3 linked regions of the Caenorhabditis elegans genome follow. The protein of the gene in region 1 interacts with the protein of each later gene in a pairwise test. Each region holds a gene or a part of one and is shown on either strand. Other genes may lie near its edges.

What was found. Proteins that work in one complex are often made in the same cells at the same time.
Region 2: the proteins of nhr-239 (region 1) and jun-1 interact in a two-hybrid assay, tested with the Caenorhabditis elegans proteins (one large-scale study listed by BioGRID).
Region 3: the proteins of nhr-239 (region 1) and sem-2 interact in a two-hybrid assay, tested with the Caenorhabditis elegans proteins (one large-scale study listed by BioGRID).

The regions. Positions count from the first base shown.
Region 1 is NC_003281.10:2,559,832-2,567,431, reverse strand, and holds nhr-239 (Nuclear receptor domain-containing protein), read right to left. Parts: upstream 5,723-7,600; coding exon 5,719-5,722; intron 5,220-5,718; coding exon 5,079-5,219; intron 5,032-5,078; coding exon 4,936-5,031; intron 4,514-4,935; exon of another isoform or gene 4,383-4,513; coding exon of another isoform or gene 3,612-4,382; intron 3,564-3,611; coding exon of another isoform or gene 3,474-3,563; exon of another isoform or gene 3,449-3,473; intron 2,078-3,448; coding exon 2,000-2,077; intron 1,449-1,999; coding exon 1,285-1,448; intron 1,239-1,284; coding exon 1,157-1,238; intron 1,100-1,156; coding exon 876-1,099; 3' UTR 837-875; downstream 1-836. Other genes in the region: Y54F10AM.11 (BTB domain-containing protein), read left to right, coding at 3,474-3,563, 3,612-4,382; feh-1 (Protein Fe65 homolog), read right to left, coding at 7,028-7,108.
Region 2 is NC_003280.10:9,111,315-9,116,156, reverse strand, and holds the start of jun-1 (Transcription factor jun-1), read right to left. Parts: upstream 3,001-4,842; 5' UTR 2,867-3,000; coding exon 2,755-2,866; intron 1-2,754. UniProt on the Caenorhabditis elegans protein: Transcription factor that recognizes and binds to the AP-1 non-canonical enhancer heptamer motif 5'-TTAGTCA-3'. Required for ovulation. Controls plc-1 expression in the spermatheca to regulate spermathecal valve dilation.
Region 3 is NC_003279.8:5,204,030-5,210,239, forward strand, and holds sem-2 (Transcription factor sem-2), read right to left. Parts: upstream 4,100-6,210; 5' UTR 4,093-4,099; coding exon 3,892-4,092; intron 3,555-3,891; coding exon 3,291-3,554; intron 2,772-3,290; coding exon 2,364-2,771; intron 2,316-2,363; coding exon 2,202-2,315; intron 1,508-2,201; coding exon 1,280-1,507; 3' UTR 501-1,279; downstream 1-500. UniProt on the Caenorhabditis elegans protein: Probable transcription factor required for embryogenesis, vulval development and cell fate specification of the postembryonic mesoderm (also known as the M lineage).

The DNA.
Region 1 (7,600 bases):
TGTAACCAATAAATACTGGTTTTAGTCTATAATTTTGATGTTTGTAGTGAAAATTACAGCAAGTTGCCGGAATTTAAAATATTCGGCAAACCGGCAAATTGCTGGAATTTGAAATTTCCGGCAAATGGACAAACCGGCAAAGTGCCGGAATCGAAAATTCCCGGCAAACCCGCAAATTTCCCAAATTTGAAAATTCCAACAAATCGGCAAATTGCTGGAATTGAAAATTTCTGGCAAACCCGCAAATTGCCCAAATTTGAAATTTCCGACAAATCGGCAAATTTCCGAAATTGAAAATTTCCGGCAAATCGGCAAACCGGCAAATTGCCGAAAATGAAAATTTCCGGCAAATCGGCAAATTGCCATGAATCGAAAATTTCCGGCAAATCGGCCAACCTGCAAATTGCCGGAATTGAAAACTTCCGGCAAACCGGTAAATTGCTGAAATTGAAAATTTCAGACAAATCGGCAAACCGGCAAATTGCCGGAATTGAAAATTTCCGGCAAATCGACAAATTGCCGGAATTAAGATTTCTCGCAAATCGGCAAACCGGCAAATTGCCGAACTTTAAATTTCCGGCAAATCGGCAAATTGCCGGAATTGAAAATTTCCGACAAACATTCCAACCGACAACTTGTCTGAATTGAAAATTTCAGACAAATCGGCAAACCGGCAAATTGCCGGAACTGAAAATTTCCGGCAAACCGGCACATCGGCAAATTGCCGGAAATGAAAATTTCCGGCAAATTGGCAAATTGCAGAAATTGAAAATTTCCGGCAAACCGGTAAATTGCCGGAATTAAGTTTTCCGGCAAATCGGCAAATTGCAAACCGGTAAATTCATTAAAACATTTATTCATCCATCAATTGAAAATCAAAACAATTCAACATTATCTGATTCAAAGACTTCAGTAATAAGACTGCTCATGGAGCTTCGGAGCAAACTTGACATCTCCCATGGTCCGTTTTCATAGAGCCACGTAACTGTATTGATTAGTTGTGTAGCTGTCTCGATAGAGTCATTTGTGAAGGAGTACCGCCATAGACAACATTTATAAAAGTTTTCCAAAGGTGCAGCGAATTTCAGAAGGGGACTGGCTGGAAAATTAATATCTAGCTAGATCTAGCATAAATAAAAGGGGATCTGAAACTTACTGGATTGGGAGAGAAGTATGCAGATAGTCAGCCGTAGTTGTTCTGGGTCACAATGCACTTTTTGCGGGATAGGTTTTGGCGGCTTAAATGGGTTACGGTAATATTCGCTGTGAGACCCAAAAACTTACTGGAAACCTGCTTAGTACTGCCTCATCTCCACTGGCCAATATCAATAGGGCAAATATGATTTGGCAGTTTTCTTCAACAACTTCTCGACGTTCCTGTTGGGACATGAAGTTTAGCAATAAGCATTTTGATGTAAGGATTACGGATTTCGAGAATATCGAGTCATCTGGAAATGGAAAAAAAAACCTGAGAATAAGAGAAGAAATCTACAACTTATCCACCAACTTTAGCAATTTTAGAAATGCCAAGCGTAGAAGTTGCTAAATTTGATTGAAAAAAGTTGGATAAAGTTGTCCAAAGTATTACGTGAACACTAAATTCAGAGAATGCGTATTGCACAACATATTTGACGCGCAAAATATCTCGTAGCGAAAACTACAGTATCTCTTTTAATTACTTTCGAAATGAATTTATTTTCCAAAAGTGACAGCGATATTCCATTTTTCTTCGATTTTTCGTATTATTTTGTTCATTTTTTTGCTTACTATTAATTTTTAATATTTTATCGATCAAAAATGATTTTCGTAAATCGACACAAGCTTTACAGTAGTCATTTAAAGAGTTACTGTAGTTTTCGCTATGAGATATTTTGCGCGTCAAATATGTTGCACAATACGCATTCTCAGAATTTTGTAATAGTCAAACTTAGAAGAAAGAAGGCTATGCAAGGCTAAGTTGGTGTATAAGTTTTGATGAATTACCCGAGTATAGACTTACATTTGAAAGAGATGGGGTTATTGGTATGTTTCAGCTGCAGGCATCGAAGCCTCCGAGGTCCTCGTTCAGTTTGGACAGCTGAATTGAACTTGATATATCAGTTAAGCAAAAAGAAAACACTATTTAAAAACGTAAATTGACAACACATTCTGTTCAATTTTTAAATTAATATTACCCAGGGGCGTTGGTGCGAAGAGTCTCAATTCTGTAGATATATGTAAGGTTCTTTTCATTACAGCTTCGTACACTCAAAATAATAAAACTGCGTGGCGTGTACTGCAGAAAACCTCATATTTAGGCCCCGCCTTTTTCTCGTCCACTCACGGAGAAAAGGCAAAAATTTGGGGACCAACCAATATCAGGCCGCCGACATCCTACGGGTTCCGCGCGCCGCTTTGTTTAACTCGCAGCGGGCGTCGATTTGACCTACGTAGGTCAAACGAAAATTGCGCAGAATACGCAAACACCGGCGGGAATTGCGCTTCATTGCACTTCCAGAATTTTCTTCTTTTTTTCCATTTTCTTTGATTTGTCATCAATTCTCTCCGTTTTTTGCCCATTTTTCTCCGATTTTTGGCCATTTTTTTTCAATGTAAAACTCGATTTTTCTTCATTTTTTGCCGATTTTCTGCCTATTTTTCTTGGATTTTCAAAGTAAAACTCGATTTTTCAGCACCGCCAGCAGTTCTAACGAGACAATGGCTGGAATGGACTTCTCGATGCCAAAGGAGCTCGTGTTCGACGCAATCGTGGTGGTGGAGGAGCGGAAGTTCCACGTGGGGAAGCAGGTTTGTGAAAACTTTGTTTAACTCGCAGCGGGCGGAGACAGCACCACGCCCACAGCGAGTTAAACATAGCGGCGCGCGGAACCCGTAGGATGTCGGCGGCCTGATATTGGTTGGTCCCCAAATTTTTGCCTTTTCTCCGTGAGTGGACGAGAAAAAGGCGGGGCCTAAATATGAGGTTTTCTGCAGTACACGCCACGCAGTTTTATTATTTTGAGTGTATACATTAACCAAAAAATCGATAAATTTACGGAAAAAAAATTCTCCGATTTTCTCAATTTTTTTTTTGCAAATTTATTGATTTTTCTGGAAATCAATTGGTTTTCCAGTAATTTTTCGATTTTTCTAAAAATTTATCGGTTTCCCGAAATTTATCGGGTTTTCCGGTGGTGTCAGAGTGCCCCTTTTCGATTTGACCTACGTAGGTCAAACGAAAATTGCGCAGAATACGCAAACACCGGCGGGAATTGCGCTTCATTGCACTTCCAGAATTTTCTTCTTTTTTTCCATTTTCTTTGATTTGTCATCAATTCTCTCCGTTTTTTGCCCATTTTTCTCCGATTTTTGGCCATTTTTTTTCAATGTAAAACTCGATTTTTCTTCATTTTTTGCCGATTTTCTGCCTATTTTTCTTGGATTTTCAAAGTAAAACTCGATTTTTCAGCACCGCCAGCAGTTCTAACGAGACAATGGCTGGAATGGACTTCTCGATGCCAAAGGAGCTCGTGTTCGACGCAATCGTGGTGGTGGAGGAGCGGAAGTTCCACGTGGGGAAGCAGGTTTGTGAAAACTACTAAAATTTTTGTGTAATAATTCACTATTTTCAGTATCTCGCCACACATTCGCGGGTCTTCCAGTCTCTGTTCGCCACCCCGGGAGATCCAGAGATCACAATTCAGGACGTCTCTTCCGAGGATTTCCTCAAATTCCTCGAATTCATGTACCACAACACGGATCAAATCACAGCACAGAATGTGGAGTCGCTTCTGACGGTTTCTGCACGGTTTGGCGTGGATTTTGTGATGGCTCGCTGCGAAAATTGGCTCTCACTCGATGAGTCAATGGATTTCTCGCTTCGTCTCCAGCTCGCCGAGACGTACAAATTCTGGAATCTCTTTGACAAACTTCTGGAGACGTTGCAAAGCGAAGCCGACTGTCAGCAAGTGATGAAAATGCGATTCCCACCGAAGTTGGCCAGTCATTCGATGATGGCGTTGTGTCGCCGAGCTGCTGCTCTCGCCAAGGAAGCTGCAAAGCCAGAAGGAGCCGGAGCACAAATCACCGAGGAGGAGCTCGACCGGACTATGAAGATGCTCGCTCCAGCAGAAGATGACCATTCTCAGATGGAGCTCACAGTTCCCGACGACAACGCTTCCGGAAGCTCTGGAACTCTCGGAGATTCTGAGGACACTGGTGCTGAGCTCGTGGAGCCGGAACTCTCAAGGATCCTTCAGAGGACGTTCGTGGTGCCGAGAAGATCGCGGAAGCTGTCTGTGCCAGAGCCGGAGGAGTACGAGGAGGACGGCTTCTCGGAAACTCTGGAGCTGTTCCAGGAGGAGGCACGCAGCTGCCACGACGATACAATCACGCTGGAGTGATGGATAAGAAGATAATTTTCATGTCAAATAATTTCGCCATATTTTTTATTAGTATATTTAAATTTTCATCGTGTACATATTAGACTATTTCAAGTTATTTTTGTGAATTCATAAATCGGGTCGCAACTTGATATTATTTTTGACTCGGAAATGTTTGAAACTCTAGGAAAGGGAGAGAGAGAGAGAAGAGAGACTTGAGCCAAAGCCTAATCCTACGCTTGAGCCAAAGACTGAGCCGAAGCCTAATCCTACGCCTAAGACTAATTCAAAGCCTAATCATAAGCCTGAGCCTAAGCATAACCTTATGCCCAAGCCAAGTCCTAAACCTAAGCCAGAGACTGAGCCTAAGCCTAAGCCCACGAATAAGCCTAGTACTATTCCTGATTCAAAGTCTAATCCTACTCCTAGGCCTACACCTAAGCCTAAGCCTAGGCCTCAGTCTAAGACTAAGCCTAAGACTAAGCCCAAGTCTAAGCCTAGGCCCATGTCTAATCCTAAGCCTATGCCTGGGCCCACACCTAGGCCTACACCTAGGCCTGAGCCTATTACTCACCGAGTCTATTCATCTTCAACCTTGTGCATTTTGCAAGCCGACACGCCGGGCACCAATTCCTTCGGCCTTTATCCACGACGCACTTCCAATTTCCCGCTGAAATATAATTTCAGATAATATAAATTTCCGGCCTGAAAGCTAACCAATACAAGTATAGATAATATTCTTGCGTACACTTCTCTTGAAAAAGCAACTGCATCCATCACATGCCCATACTCCATAGTGTCTACCGTAAGACTTGTCTCCACAAATCTCACAGTTCACGGCTGCCGTGTCTTTTCGGCCTGAAAACGATATTTGATCTACAGAAATTGCGCCAATTTGAGCGCGCGCTGTGAAATTCGTGTGACCTCACATTTTCGGAAAATTTTTGGCAATTGCCGTTTTTCCGGCAATTTTCCGATTTGCTGGAAATTTTCAATTCCGGCAATTTGTCGATTTGCCATTTTTCCGGCAAATTCGGCAAATCAATTTGCCGGTTTGCCGATTTGCCGGAAATTTTAATTTCCGGCAATTTGCCGATTTGCCATTAATTTTCAATTCCGGCAATTTGCCGATTTGCCGGTTTGCCGGAAAAAATCGTTTGCCGCTTGCGGAAATTCCATTAATGTTTTTGTGAAAGAAACAAATTCAAACTGTAGTTAACGAGTTTTTCGTAAAAAACTAAAAAATTCGAAGAACTGCTGCAAACGCGCCCCAACGAACTATTGGCCTACGTAGCGCGGCCAATTTTTATTCAAATTTTGCAGAATAATTACAAAAACCGAGAAAATTCTCACTTACCCATCGAAAAATTAGCAAAATCACCGGAAACCGAAAAATAAAAGGCATATCTCCGTATTGCAGCTCGCCAATTTATACCACCTGAGAATCACTAATTGGAAAGGTATTCGGTGTCAGATGGTAGTAGTAGTACTAGTTGAAATATGAGAATAGTCCCCCACCTTTCCCAAAATCACAAGGTTAGAAGAAGCTTACTTCATCATAAGTCGGGGCGCATTAATTATTTATTGAATTTTTGAGCAACCGACACTCTGATCGAATAGATTTTCTATGGAAAATCGGAAAGAATTTGCTATTTTGAAGCTGAAATTGGCTGGGGCAAAAAAGGGCAAAAACAGGCAAAAAATTATGAAAAAAATTTAGAAAAAAAATTTGCAAAAAGAAATTCAAATTAATTTTTTTAAAATTTTCTATTGAAAACTTTAAATATCTCACTGAACAACTATTAGTTTGCTTACCAGCCTGTCTACCTACCTACCTAAATGCCTATCTGCCTGCATGCCTACATACATATCGGCGTTCCTACCTACCTATCAGTATGACCCCTGCCTGCCAGCCTGGTTACCTACCTACATACCTATCGGCCTACCTGCCTACCTTAATACCTATCTGCCTGCATGCCTGTGTACCAGCTTGGTTACCTACCTACATACCTATCGGCCATCCTACCTACCTAAATGCCTATAGGCGTTCCTGCCCACCTAAACACCTATCTGCCTGTATGCCTGCCTACCAGCCTGGCTGCCTATCTACATACCTACCGGCCTACCTACCTAACTGAATACCTGTCTTCTGCCTTCATGCCTGTCTACCAATTTGGCTACCTACCTACATACCTATCGGCCTTCCTATCTGCATGCCTGCATACCAGCCTGGTTACCTACCTACATACCTATTGGTGTACCTACATACCTACATGGCTATCCGCCTGCCTACCTGCTCACTTACCTGCCTGCCTGCCTGCCTAGCTTCCTGCCAAACAATTTTCGCGACCTATCGATGCACCATGTTCATTCCACCAAACTTGTTATAAAACTCCATTTTTATCAGAAAAACCTTTTTTCAAAGAAATCAAATTCTACAAAACAAAAAAAAATTGTCACAGATGTTGAAAAAGCTACACAGAAAGAGGGATTGTACAAGTAAAAATGTATCGGTGGATTGAAGAATATTGCCAAGTGAGGGGCCGGGGTAAACTTTTGGTTTGAAAGCATATTTGGGATGAGCAGAACAGAGTATGAGAGAAAAAAATATGAGAAAAATCCATCAAAAATACAGAAAATTAAAGAACCGAAGAAAAATGAAGAATTCAAAGTCGTTGTGCCGACCTAGAAGGTACCATACGTGACGTCACCGAACCAAAAGCGTCGCGAAATGTTTCAGTCCATCCCTGTAATTATTTCAAGTTAGGTTTTAAGGATTTTAAGGCTTTCAGCAGATTATTAAGAGTTAATTGGATTTTTTGGTAGTATGTGCACATTAATTTCGGCTCACAACAAAAGTTATGGTGCATCGATCAAAAAAAATTTTTTTTTCGAATTTAAAATTTTGTTCAATATCCTACAGTAAACTACAGTACCCCTACAGTACCCATACAGTTCCCTACAGTATCCCTATAGTATCCCTACAGTACCCTTGTAGTGCACCTACAGTACTTCCATATTAACTTTACATAAGATCTACTGTAGTCCTACAGTATTCCTGTAGTACATCTACAGAATTCCTACACTATCCCTACAATACTCCTACAGTAACCTACAGTACTCTAGAGTACTACTACAGTACCCTACAGTACCCCCCCCCCATTACAGGCCCTTACAGAATCCCTACAGTGCCCATACAACAGCTCTACAGTACCCCTAAAGCACTTCTACAGTGCCCT
Region 2 (4,842 bases), on another chromosome or scaffold:
AAATACGGTTATGTTCTTTAGGTATATTTACAAAAACTATGATTTCTTTGATAATTATTTAAAATTCAGCCACTGCAAAATCATAGATCAAATCAAAAGACCCGGAAAATAATTGTTTTCCAAAATATCAGCACATTTAGGAAGTACAATTCCAACAAGAATATATCCTAAATTGGCGGGAATCGAGAAAAGCATAACAAAAAAATAGATTCAATATATATGAAGAAAAATGTTTCAGATAACTTCATAACACAAACATCAATTGATCATGAAACGCGTGTTAGATTTGATTAACAAAACATGTTAACGATGTTCTTGGAACTACGCTGATTAGCAGAAAAAGTTGGTGGGAAATGTTGTTTAAAGTTTTTGAATACGCGACACGAAAAAGGAAAGTGAAAAACTTTCATAATGCTCCATCCAAGCACGTTCTTTAATTTGTGTTTATGATGGTGGGAAAATAGAAAAAGTGAAAAAAAGAGAAGAAGAAAAAGATTCTCAGATGTTCTCTAACAGAAAATGTAGATGAAACTAGAGAACCAGAAAAGCTCAGAGATAAACATCAAAAAGAAAATATTAGAGCAGATCAGTCTTCCACGAGCAGAACGTCATGAATATGTTCTTTAAAGATTAGTGTCAGGTTTGATGGGAATTGGCTGAAACTAGGGCTTCATGCGCCTCATCGGAACTTGGCTTGCCTTCACGGCAACCCTTGCCTGCCTTGTGCCTAGAAATATTAATAACTCATGAGTTAACACAATTCGAGCGCCAAACATCGTTGAATCAAAAATATGAAGCCAGGAGGGGCGGGTAGGTTTGAGGCAGGCAGTGGATCCTGAGGATGCACCTCTCTAGATAGATCTACTATGGGTAACCTAGCTAAAACTGAGTTCAAAATGACTAACTACCTACAGGTTCCATTCTAAAATTGAAACAACTTCTGCAGAAAATGAGAACAAATACTAACAGAGATTCGCCTGAATATTTCATCAAACATATGACTGTTTCGCAAGAGTTGCCATAGCCTCTTTCATCTCATTACCCATGCATGTTATGGAACAGAAATCAGAGCCTAAAAACTGAAAGATGGGAAGGAAAAAAGGGGCAAAGTGTGTGTCAAAACATTTACGAAAGCCCGATGACTCATTCCAAGAAATGAATGGGAACGGATAGAACGAATGAACAAAATATGTCTGGATAAAATGGAAATTAAGAAACCAAAGTTCGAGAATAAACGCATCGAAAATTAGTTCAGCTCACGTAGCTAAAAAAAATTTCAAGACAAACTTTTAAACATCTTCTTTGCAAAAATCTTGATAACGAGAAATTCGACGTAAAATAGAGAAGCGAAGGGCCGGGATAAGCCATTTGTAAGATCATTTTAGATTTTTTATAGCATTCGATCGTTCAAAATCAATTTTAAAATAGCATTGTTTGAACTTTTGCTTGAATTTTCTGTACTTATAGTGTGTTTTGTATTTTCGTATTGTACTTTTGTCAATATGACTTCGAAGAACGTTTTCAAAATACCTAACTATAAATTTCGACAAAACCTTAAAAAACCCAAATAGTGTACTAAAATGATCTGATGAGCTAATAATGAAACTTCCGAAAGGAACAGCTGTTAGTCTTATCATTTGGCACAATCAGGTCGAACCAATGAAATATTGCTCTCAAACCAAGAGAGGGCGGAGAGACATATTGTGGTGATTTATTAGGTAGTTCTTGTGAAAAAATGTCGGGTTTGAAATATGTTAAATTTCTAGATGAAGGTTTTAGAGAAATGAGGTTTGTCGGATTTGTATACCATAATATATTTAAGCTTTTTTTGAAGGATTTGAATAATACAAATCTTCAAAGTAAAGCTAGGGGACAAGCTAGAGTAGGAGGTAGAGATTTTCCAAAAAAACATAGTTTTACCGTTAATTGCAATTTTAAATATTAATCAAGAATTTAGGTTTAATGAAAGTTCAAAAAATTTACCAAGTTTACAGAATATGGTCTAGGAATATATATATATATATAGTTTCAAGTTCCTAGATCCTAACCCTAATGCCTCTACACTTCCGCTAAACTAGGCATATGCGTTTATCAACAAAAAACAGTTCGAAGAAAAGAGACCATATAAGACGAAGAGACGCAGACAGTTGCCAGATGGAACGGGCGGGAAAAGCTGTGCGCCGCTTCGATCACTACAGTAGCTGCGTCGTTGGAATCGAAAATCACGTGTCAACTCGATTTTTTTTTCTCGATCACTGCGTCTCTCTCCGAATTAGAGTCTCGCTCGTAGTTTTTGTGATGATTAAAATGTAATGATGAACATTCATAAAAGTGGGCGGAGCCAGGATTATACCGTTTACTCTATTTTTAAGTGTTTTATGTCCAGTTGAAAGGAAATTGTTGCATAGAAAAACTTTCAATTTGGTAAGAAACAATATGATTTAATTTTACAAATCATTTAAGAAAAATACAAAACAATTTTAACAACCACCTGTTTTTTTTGGCACGCGTCATAAACTTTTTATGGGTTCAAAGAATTCATATTAAACATAGATCTACAAATTGATATAATGTTTTGACAAACAACTTCATCAATTAACGATAAAATCACGAGATCACAAATGTTTGGTAGTTGTAATTTGGCATTTTGATAGTAGTGAAACTATAGTTTTGTAACCATGATTGTCCATTTCCTATTGTGACAGGTTTATCATCAAGTATTCCAAAACTTTTGAACTAGACAAACAAACTAACCCTTTTTGGAATTTTTCCTTCTTCGAGTTGGAGCTTTTGGAGCTTTTAGAACAACTTCTGGAGATTCTGATGATGTTGATGAGGATGGTGGTTCCTCTTGATCCTCTTCCATTTTTGTTTTATTTTGATTTCAAAACCTTTTGACAAATAAGAATTGAATAGAGAGGAAGAGAAGTTGATGACGAATCGGTTGACGACGATGGCGATGGGGGTTAGTCGGCGGGGGCCCCGAGAATGAGTCACACGCACACTCACTCTTGTCTCTTTTCCTCTGCTGACTCGTTCTTTTCCTTTTTCTCTCTTTTTCTATCTCTATCTCTTTCTCTCTATTTTCCAGATCCATGACATCCATAGACGCAGATAGACAAACGAACATTGAAAGAAAACATTGAAAATTGAGAGAATCCAGAAGTTTCTCATTCTCTCTATTTTTCATTCTCTCTTTCCACCACCCAATTGACATTTAGAAAGGTAAATGGAGAGAGAAAGAGAGGAAATGGATAAAGTTCGCAGAAAAATGTTACCGTAAATAATGTGTCAGTGTGCTTGCTTCACGTTCTCCGTCTCTTTTCCCTCATTTCTCTCCGCTCCTTTGACTTCTGTATTTGCCTTTCCATCAGCCACTTATCTTTTTGGAAGTTCATTGGCTTTTTCAGAGCTCATCTTGTTTTTCATTCTTTTTAGGCCTGACCTCATTAGTCTTTTACCCATAGATCTTGTTTATGCACCCAATAATAACTAAAATATAATACGTTTTTTGCAGGGGTTTGAAGCTTTCTGATCCGGTTTTTCAAATTAATAAAAACCGAGAGTAATAAAAACTCATGTTTCAGTAAATCCAATTTTGGAAGTCGACCAGAAAACATTTTTTGGAAAATTTGGCAATTTACTAAAACTGTTAATGAACATTTTACTCTGGAGTGTTCGATTATGACATTCGAGAATTTTGTCTGCACATACTTCAACTAGACCAGAAATACTCTAGATCATTTTTACAAAATCTAAACATATTTTGATTTTCTTTTTGAAATTGTTTGAGGTTTTGTTTTTGGCACAATGCAAAAAAAAGGTTTTTTTTCAAAGTAATTTATACTATTTTTGCATGTTCGGTCCTAGATCTTTCATATTTGTAATACGTGATAACATATTATTAGTAATAGCCAGATTTTGACTACAGTTACAAACATTTTTTAATTTTTTGAACTGTTTTACCATGTTATTCAGCATACCAAACAACTCGTCTAGATATCAAAACAAGTTTTATTCAAGGTAACATACCGTGTACCATACCATTTGGAAAGTACGGTAGATATCAGTTCATTGCATTTGGGAATTTGTATCGCATTTGCAAAGTTAATTTTGATTGGTAGATTTTTTTCGGCACTTGCACTTAATTTTTTCATAGAAACACCGTAATTTGCATAAGAATAGTCATTCGGCCTAACACGATCGATGCTAATTATCTTTTATTATTACTAACTTCATGTTTTATTTGGCTTATTTGTGCTGATATCTAGAGGCTTTTGAATTGTACATTCGTGAACCAGGAATTGGCCAAGTTTTGCCAATTTCGGAACCAAGTTGGGTACGAAGTTTCGAACATAAATCTGAAAGTGTTTCATTGGTCTCCAATAGTCATGATTTGTGATTCACTTTCCAATTTACAATATCAACAGTAGTATCTACTCATAATTGATAACTTCGTATTTTCTCTAATCATACTTATGTCTCTCACGATTCCATACAATTTCGCGTTCGTTATGGTTGTCTGCTCATCTTTTTGTACACGGTCATCAAAATGAAATCGGAACGAAAAAGCAGTCACAAATTCGGAAATCATTGCAAAAAAATGGTGGGAGTAAGAATTGAGAGATTAGTGGAAATGGCATCACATCAGAATCAATTTGAATTCTCTCTTTTTTTGTGTTTCCTCTGCCCACCCATTCACATTTCAGGTGATTTCGAGAACAAATTACGTCGAAAGGGAAACGCCTGGCTGAAAATAAAAAATTCAGAAAAAAAGGAAGAAAATAGAAAGTGCACGCACCGGCATACGTAATAAGGAGCCCCTCATCTAAATAATATTTA
Region 3 (6,210 bases), on another chromosome or scaffold:
AAAAGAAACATGCCGACAAGTTGAGGTTGTGAAGGACGGATGATAGAATGCACTATTTATTTGAAGGTTGTTTTTTTTTCAAAGCTGTTGGAGCCAAAAACAGGGTGTGACTTTTTAAAGCAGGTTTCAGAAAAGTGCCAAAATTCCGAGAATGACATTGCAAAAAAAAACAAGAGGTTCCAGAAAAGCGGCTTCCCGACTGCTCGGTTATTGCAGTATTCACGGAGCAATTGTTCTACCAGCACAAAAATTGATTTCAGGCCAGGATTGAACTGTTATGTTAAATTGTAATATGTCATACATATTTTACGAGACTGTTTACGAGACATTATTTAGGGAAGTTTTTTCAATTTGTGTCACACACTTGCCGCAGCTGCCAATAACTAATTAATAGTAGAAAATTGCTAGGTATTTACCTGAATTTTAATTTACAGAACAGAAAAAATTAATTAAACGTATATTATTTCCACAAATCTATGTATTTTGAAATCAAAAACAAGTTAATTTTTTAAATGATTTTTATTGCTCAGAAAAAGGAGACAAACATAAATCAATCAATAATAAATGAAATCAAGAGGAAGAAATTCATTCAATACTGAAAATTTGGAAAGATGAGTGAAAAAGGATAAGAGATATTTAGAGATGAACAAGAGAATAAATATTTCTTCAGGTTTGGGAAAAAGGGTAGCTACATTTGGCATATTGTAGAGGGCAGGGGATGGGGGGAAGTGTTCAACATATACAATCATAATTTCGTGCTTGAAATCTCAGAAATTTTTTTTTTCAAGTACAACGGCGAATTGGGTAATCGATGAAAGTTGAAAGAACGAATGAAAACTGGCTCGGTAAAGCTGGGAGAGGATAAAAATGGGTAAAGAAATGGGGACGATACTTTTGTAGAAGAATACTTTCAATTTGAAATTAGTGAATTACTTTTTGGATTTGTAGAAATACTCTTAGGGTTTCAAGAAATGAAAGAATACAATCGCTTGGATTTGTTGAGGAAATACTGGAAAACAAAGAGAAAAATACAGAAAAAGGTGGTAAATAACTAGAAAATGCTGGGGATTAAAAGGTACTAAGACCGGACTAAAGGGACACTCGAAAATTGTTGGAGAGAGATAAAGAGAGAATTGTTTCAGGGGAGAGGCTAGAATTGAGGTAGGAGCAGAAAATGTTGGGCTTTCAGAAGAAACAGTGAAAAAAAACATTTGGACGTAGCGATCTACTTACTACCCGAACTTTCAGAAGTTTTCAAAAAAAAACTTGTCTGAAATATTCAAGAAAAATTAATATCAATTCCCAATGCATCGCTCCATGGATAATTGACCAGCTCGCCTGTGGTTACAGTTGGACAAATCTGCTCCAGGTCATCCAAATGTGTTGTAGTCGTAGCGGCCGTAGCCATTGTGACGACTCCCGCCGAGTTTGGTGATGACGTTGATTGTTCAGAAGCACTACAGTCGGCGTATCCCGAAGATCCAGACGATAGACTACGCATGTCGTCCTGAAACTCATGAGTTTTGAACATTTCATGAGGATATTGTGCTGGTGGTGTTGAAGTTGGTGCTGGTGATGGTGCGAAGTGGTACATGTTATAAAGATTATGATTCTGAATCATTGGGTTAGGTATCTGAAGGAAAACAAGCGGTTATTAGGATGTTAAGCATGGATGCTGGGAAGGGATTGTAGTGGAAAATGGAGTACGGTAGGATTTACGCTAAAAGGACTAATAATATAAATTTTCAAAATCCAATGGCCAGTACTAAGAATTTTATGATTTAAATGTTTTTCAATATAAAAGATGAAATATCGACAATGTATTAGAAACTACTTAATCCACTTCAGAAAAATTCAAAAATTTTTGAACTTTTTTTAAAATTTACAGTCAACGGGTTTTAAGTACTAAACCTAAGTAAAAATTGAATCACAAGTAAGTGTTTCTATAAATTCTAAGGGCTCGAACAATTTCTCATAAAGTTAAATTTCTTCGGAAATTTGATAATTTGCAAAACTTTGATTGAAAATTTTGACAAATATAAAGTATTTTGAGTGATTAATTATTTTCTTTAAGATAAAATTCCCCACCTTTCAGAAAATAAAATTTGGCAATTTTCTAAATTTTTAGCCACTACATCCTACCGTACTCCCAAACAAAAAGTGCTTCAAACAAAATCTCATGCAAAAGAGACAACCCGTACCTGATCAACTGATGGTGGTGAAGTGTGCAAGTAGAAAGGATGATTACCAGCTCCAAATCCCGAATTATGCCCCATCATTTGTGGTGGCATTCCCATGTCCATACCAAGATTCGTCTGAAAATATTGAATTTTCCAAGCATTTCGTGATCTATAAAAACTAACCATTCTGAGGGGACTTCCTGCCGAATTATGATGTTGTGATGCAAAATGCTGTTGATGATGTTGCTGTGTAAAATAGTCATCATAAAATCCAGATTCAGGTGTCAACGGAGCATGTCCAAACTCGGAAGGTGATGGATACGATGGATGAAATGGCATCTTTTGTGCATGACTCATATGAGCATTTCCCATCCAATCTTGCTCCACTTTCACTGATTTAAAGTTTTGGAATTGTTGTGTTTCTGACTGTTGATCTGTGTTTGGACGTTTTCGTTGACGAGCCTGTGGTGATGCTCCACGTGGTGGGGCCTGTTGCTGTTGTGGAGCTTGGGGTTGAGCTGGCTGCTGAAGTGTTCCATCTGGATTCTTCTTTGGCTTCTTGCGTGGCTTGTATTTGTAGTCTGGATATTCCTGAAAAAATTTAAAATTACAATACAATTATTCGAAAAATCCGGTTACAGTATTTCCTGTGTGGCACAGAGGTAAGCTACTATTTGAATATTCTAAAATTTGATAATTTGGCAGTTGCCAAAAACGTCGAATATTTAAAAATTTCTGAGATTCGGAAAATCACCAAAAATAAAATATTGGAATTTTTAGTTTTTAATGAAAAGCTTATATTGTTTCACCTACCTCCTACACTGACTATAGTAGAAATTTGTTTTTCGTTCAAAATTCAAATTTTTTTTTCAAATTATTCTCTTTTTTTTTAACTTTTTTGAACTCGATAATTGTCGTATTTTTGAATTTCCGAAAATGCCGATTACGGAAAACTTTTGATTGGTATGAAGCCTCTATTATCAGCACAATACGTTTTGAAATTATTTAGTGAAAATACACTTGTTCAAAAATTATTACTGTATTTCTTACTTATATAGAAAATTCGGTATCAATATTGAATTGAATTAAACTATATTCTCCCATACTAACCTGCATATGACAAACTCTGAGTCTCTCAGCTTCAGCAACAAATGGAGCTTTTTCCTCATCAGTCAAACTTCTCCAACGACTTCCCAATTGCTTACTGATTTCTGCATTATGCATATCTGGCTGATGCTCACAAATCTTTCTCCGTTCCATTTGAGACCAAACCATAAAAGCGTTCATTGGTCGCTTGATGTGATTTGATGACTTTTTGCAATTTGTTGCATCCGAATACGGGGTCACTGATTTGGGAATCGCTTGTTGTGCATGCTGAAAATGTATGGATTTGTTTCAGAGCAATTTTTAATTTTTTGGTACTTCTAGGTTGAGAACATTTCTAAAAGTGCAAATGTCAAGTAACTGATAAGAAAAGAGTTTTCAAATTTGTTGCTCTTCCACTCTAGAAGTTTCAAAAAATAAGATAACAAGATGACCAGTGCAAAGTATCATGTTTTTTGTTTTTACTAAATTTATTACCTTGTTTACTAAAAAATTATTACAAAAAGGGCTGTGTCCACTTCCTGATGTCCTTTTGACAGCTTATCACTTATCAAAGTGTAAAGCCCATTGTTTCAATATTTACAACCAAAAAAACCGTATCACAAACCTTATAGCCTCCAGCTGCTGTCCCATATGGATGATGTTGTAATTGTTGTGACGTGGCAACCGAGTTAGACGATGTGGCATTTGTGGCTCCAGAAGTCGATGAGGCTACTGCAATTGCGGCCGCAGCCCAGTTAATCGGCGGCATCATATGCGGAGCCATTCCACAATCCAGCATGAAGTTGGGCGGTTTTTGGAGATCCATTTGATATCTGAAATAAAAAGTAATACGAAAAATAATATTGTTGAAACGGAAAGTGGAAAAATTAAAAGAGAAAGGTAAGAGAAAGTGAAATTCAGGAGACCGAATTTCGGCAGAAAATATAGGGAAAATCCAAAAAGAACGAGAGTTAGAGAGAATAAGAGATTCAAAGATGTCTACGATCCGTTTCCATGAGAGATTTCTACGAGGAGATAGACAAGGTGGCGTTCAGTGTATCTTTAGTACAGTATACTTTAGGATACAAGTATACGGTAGAATCTACCAAGAGTATACTTTTCCAAAAAGAAACGTAACCAACTATACAATTAGAAACTTTCAAGTAATAGTAAAGCAGGGTTCTAGTTGCCGGTCACTTGCTTACTGATAAGAGCCAGCACTGATAATTTTTTCCTGGAGAAAAGCTGGAACATGTGCAAAAGTATGGAAAAGGAGAGAGACGGCAAGAAAGGAAAAAATTCAAAATAAGAACTTAAATATCAACAATCATGACTACCACGATTCTAGCTGGATAAGTTAATTAGCAAATGACCGTAGGAGCTTAATCTATTCAATTTTTGATGATAAGCCTGACTGATTCTTCTTCGAGATGATCAGGTCAAACTGCCTTTCTGTCTCATTTTCATTTCTCTCTCTCTCTCTCGAGAAAAGGGATGTTGTACAACCCAATGACAAGAGTGATGACATAACAATACAACACAATAGAATAAGGGGGAGAAGCATCAGAAAACTGGTATTTTTAGAAAGGGGCAAAAACGAAGTAGGAGAATGAAGCAGAAGCTGTGTACTTCGAGAGTGCGGTAGTGAGGCTTCTCGCATGATGTAATGGTTTGACATTTGGTAATTGTAATTGGCATTGGCCAAACGAGATGATGTACTACTACTGTGTGTATATGTACGGTAGATTGGCATGTCATGAGAGAAATGGTTTGGAAATGGAAGTTTTCAGAGAGCAAAAGGTTTGACACATTTAGAGAGCATTCATCTTGGAAACCCAAGTACAGAAAGTGAAACAATACTATATAGAAAAGAATATCAAAAAGGGTGCCAAGAAAACAGAAATGAGAAAAACTAAATGGTAACAAGTATATCTTCCTCCTTACAACCACCGCCTCCCGTCCTGAAAAAGGCGTGTCTAGACCGCCTCTACGGCACTTTGCAAAGGACCACGAGGTGCCAAGTTATTTGCGGCAGAGTTCCGAAAGGAGGCAAGTAACTTGGTACATTGAGGTGGCTAGATTGCATGGGAAATTGGATAAACAAGAATTTTGGGATGAGTTAGACATGAAACTCAACTATTGAAATTCTGAATATAACAAAGATAATTGTATTTCCAATGAGAAATAAGCAAGGTATCTAGACAAACATAGATTTCTAATTCTAATAGATTCTTAAATGAACTGAAAAAAGGTGGCTTATATTTTTGATGCATACTTTGGTATTTTTTGGAACATTTCAAAATCTCTGACCGTGAAAAACCTTGCCATGTTCGATATCAAAAAAGTAACAACAAAATATTGGGTTAACTTTAACTGAAGAAACTCTCAAATATGCTTATTTCTAAAGAAAAGAGCTCCTAACTTTTGCCTACACAGTTAATTTGTCATGCTTTCAGCAGGTACCTCATAGACATTACGATGCACGATGTACAGATCGTCAACGAAGTCGGGCACTATATGCACATGGCGACTCTAAAACAGTCAAAATATGTGCCCAACGATATCGAAAGTTATGTGCAATTCTGCTAGACTAGCACACTCCAAACTAAAACCTATGATCAAGTGGTTACTTGATAACTACAGTAACCTTGATCCTTCTTCGAAACCAGCTTTTCCTTCTCCTCATCTCATTTAGCGTTCACTCTCGAATGAATCATGACTTCTGCCCCCTTACACCTTTCCTCCAAAAAAACTGTATTATGTAACTTTTTGGAGGTAGAAAAGAGGAAAAGTGTTCACAGTCTCGACGCTCGGTGATGCCTTCAGCTTCTGATGCGCAGAAGGAGAGAGAGAGAATCGCAAATCGGCAGAATTTGGAACCGGTTCTCAACTCAGGAAGGGGCAAAAGAGGGGGCAGAAGAGGTGAAAGTGTCTCGAGATCATC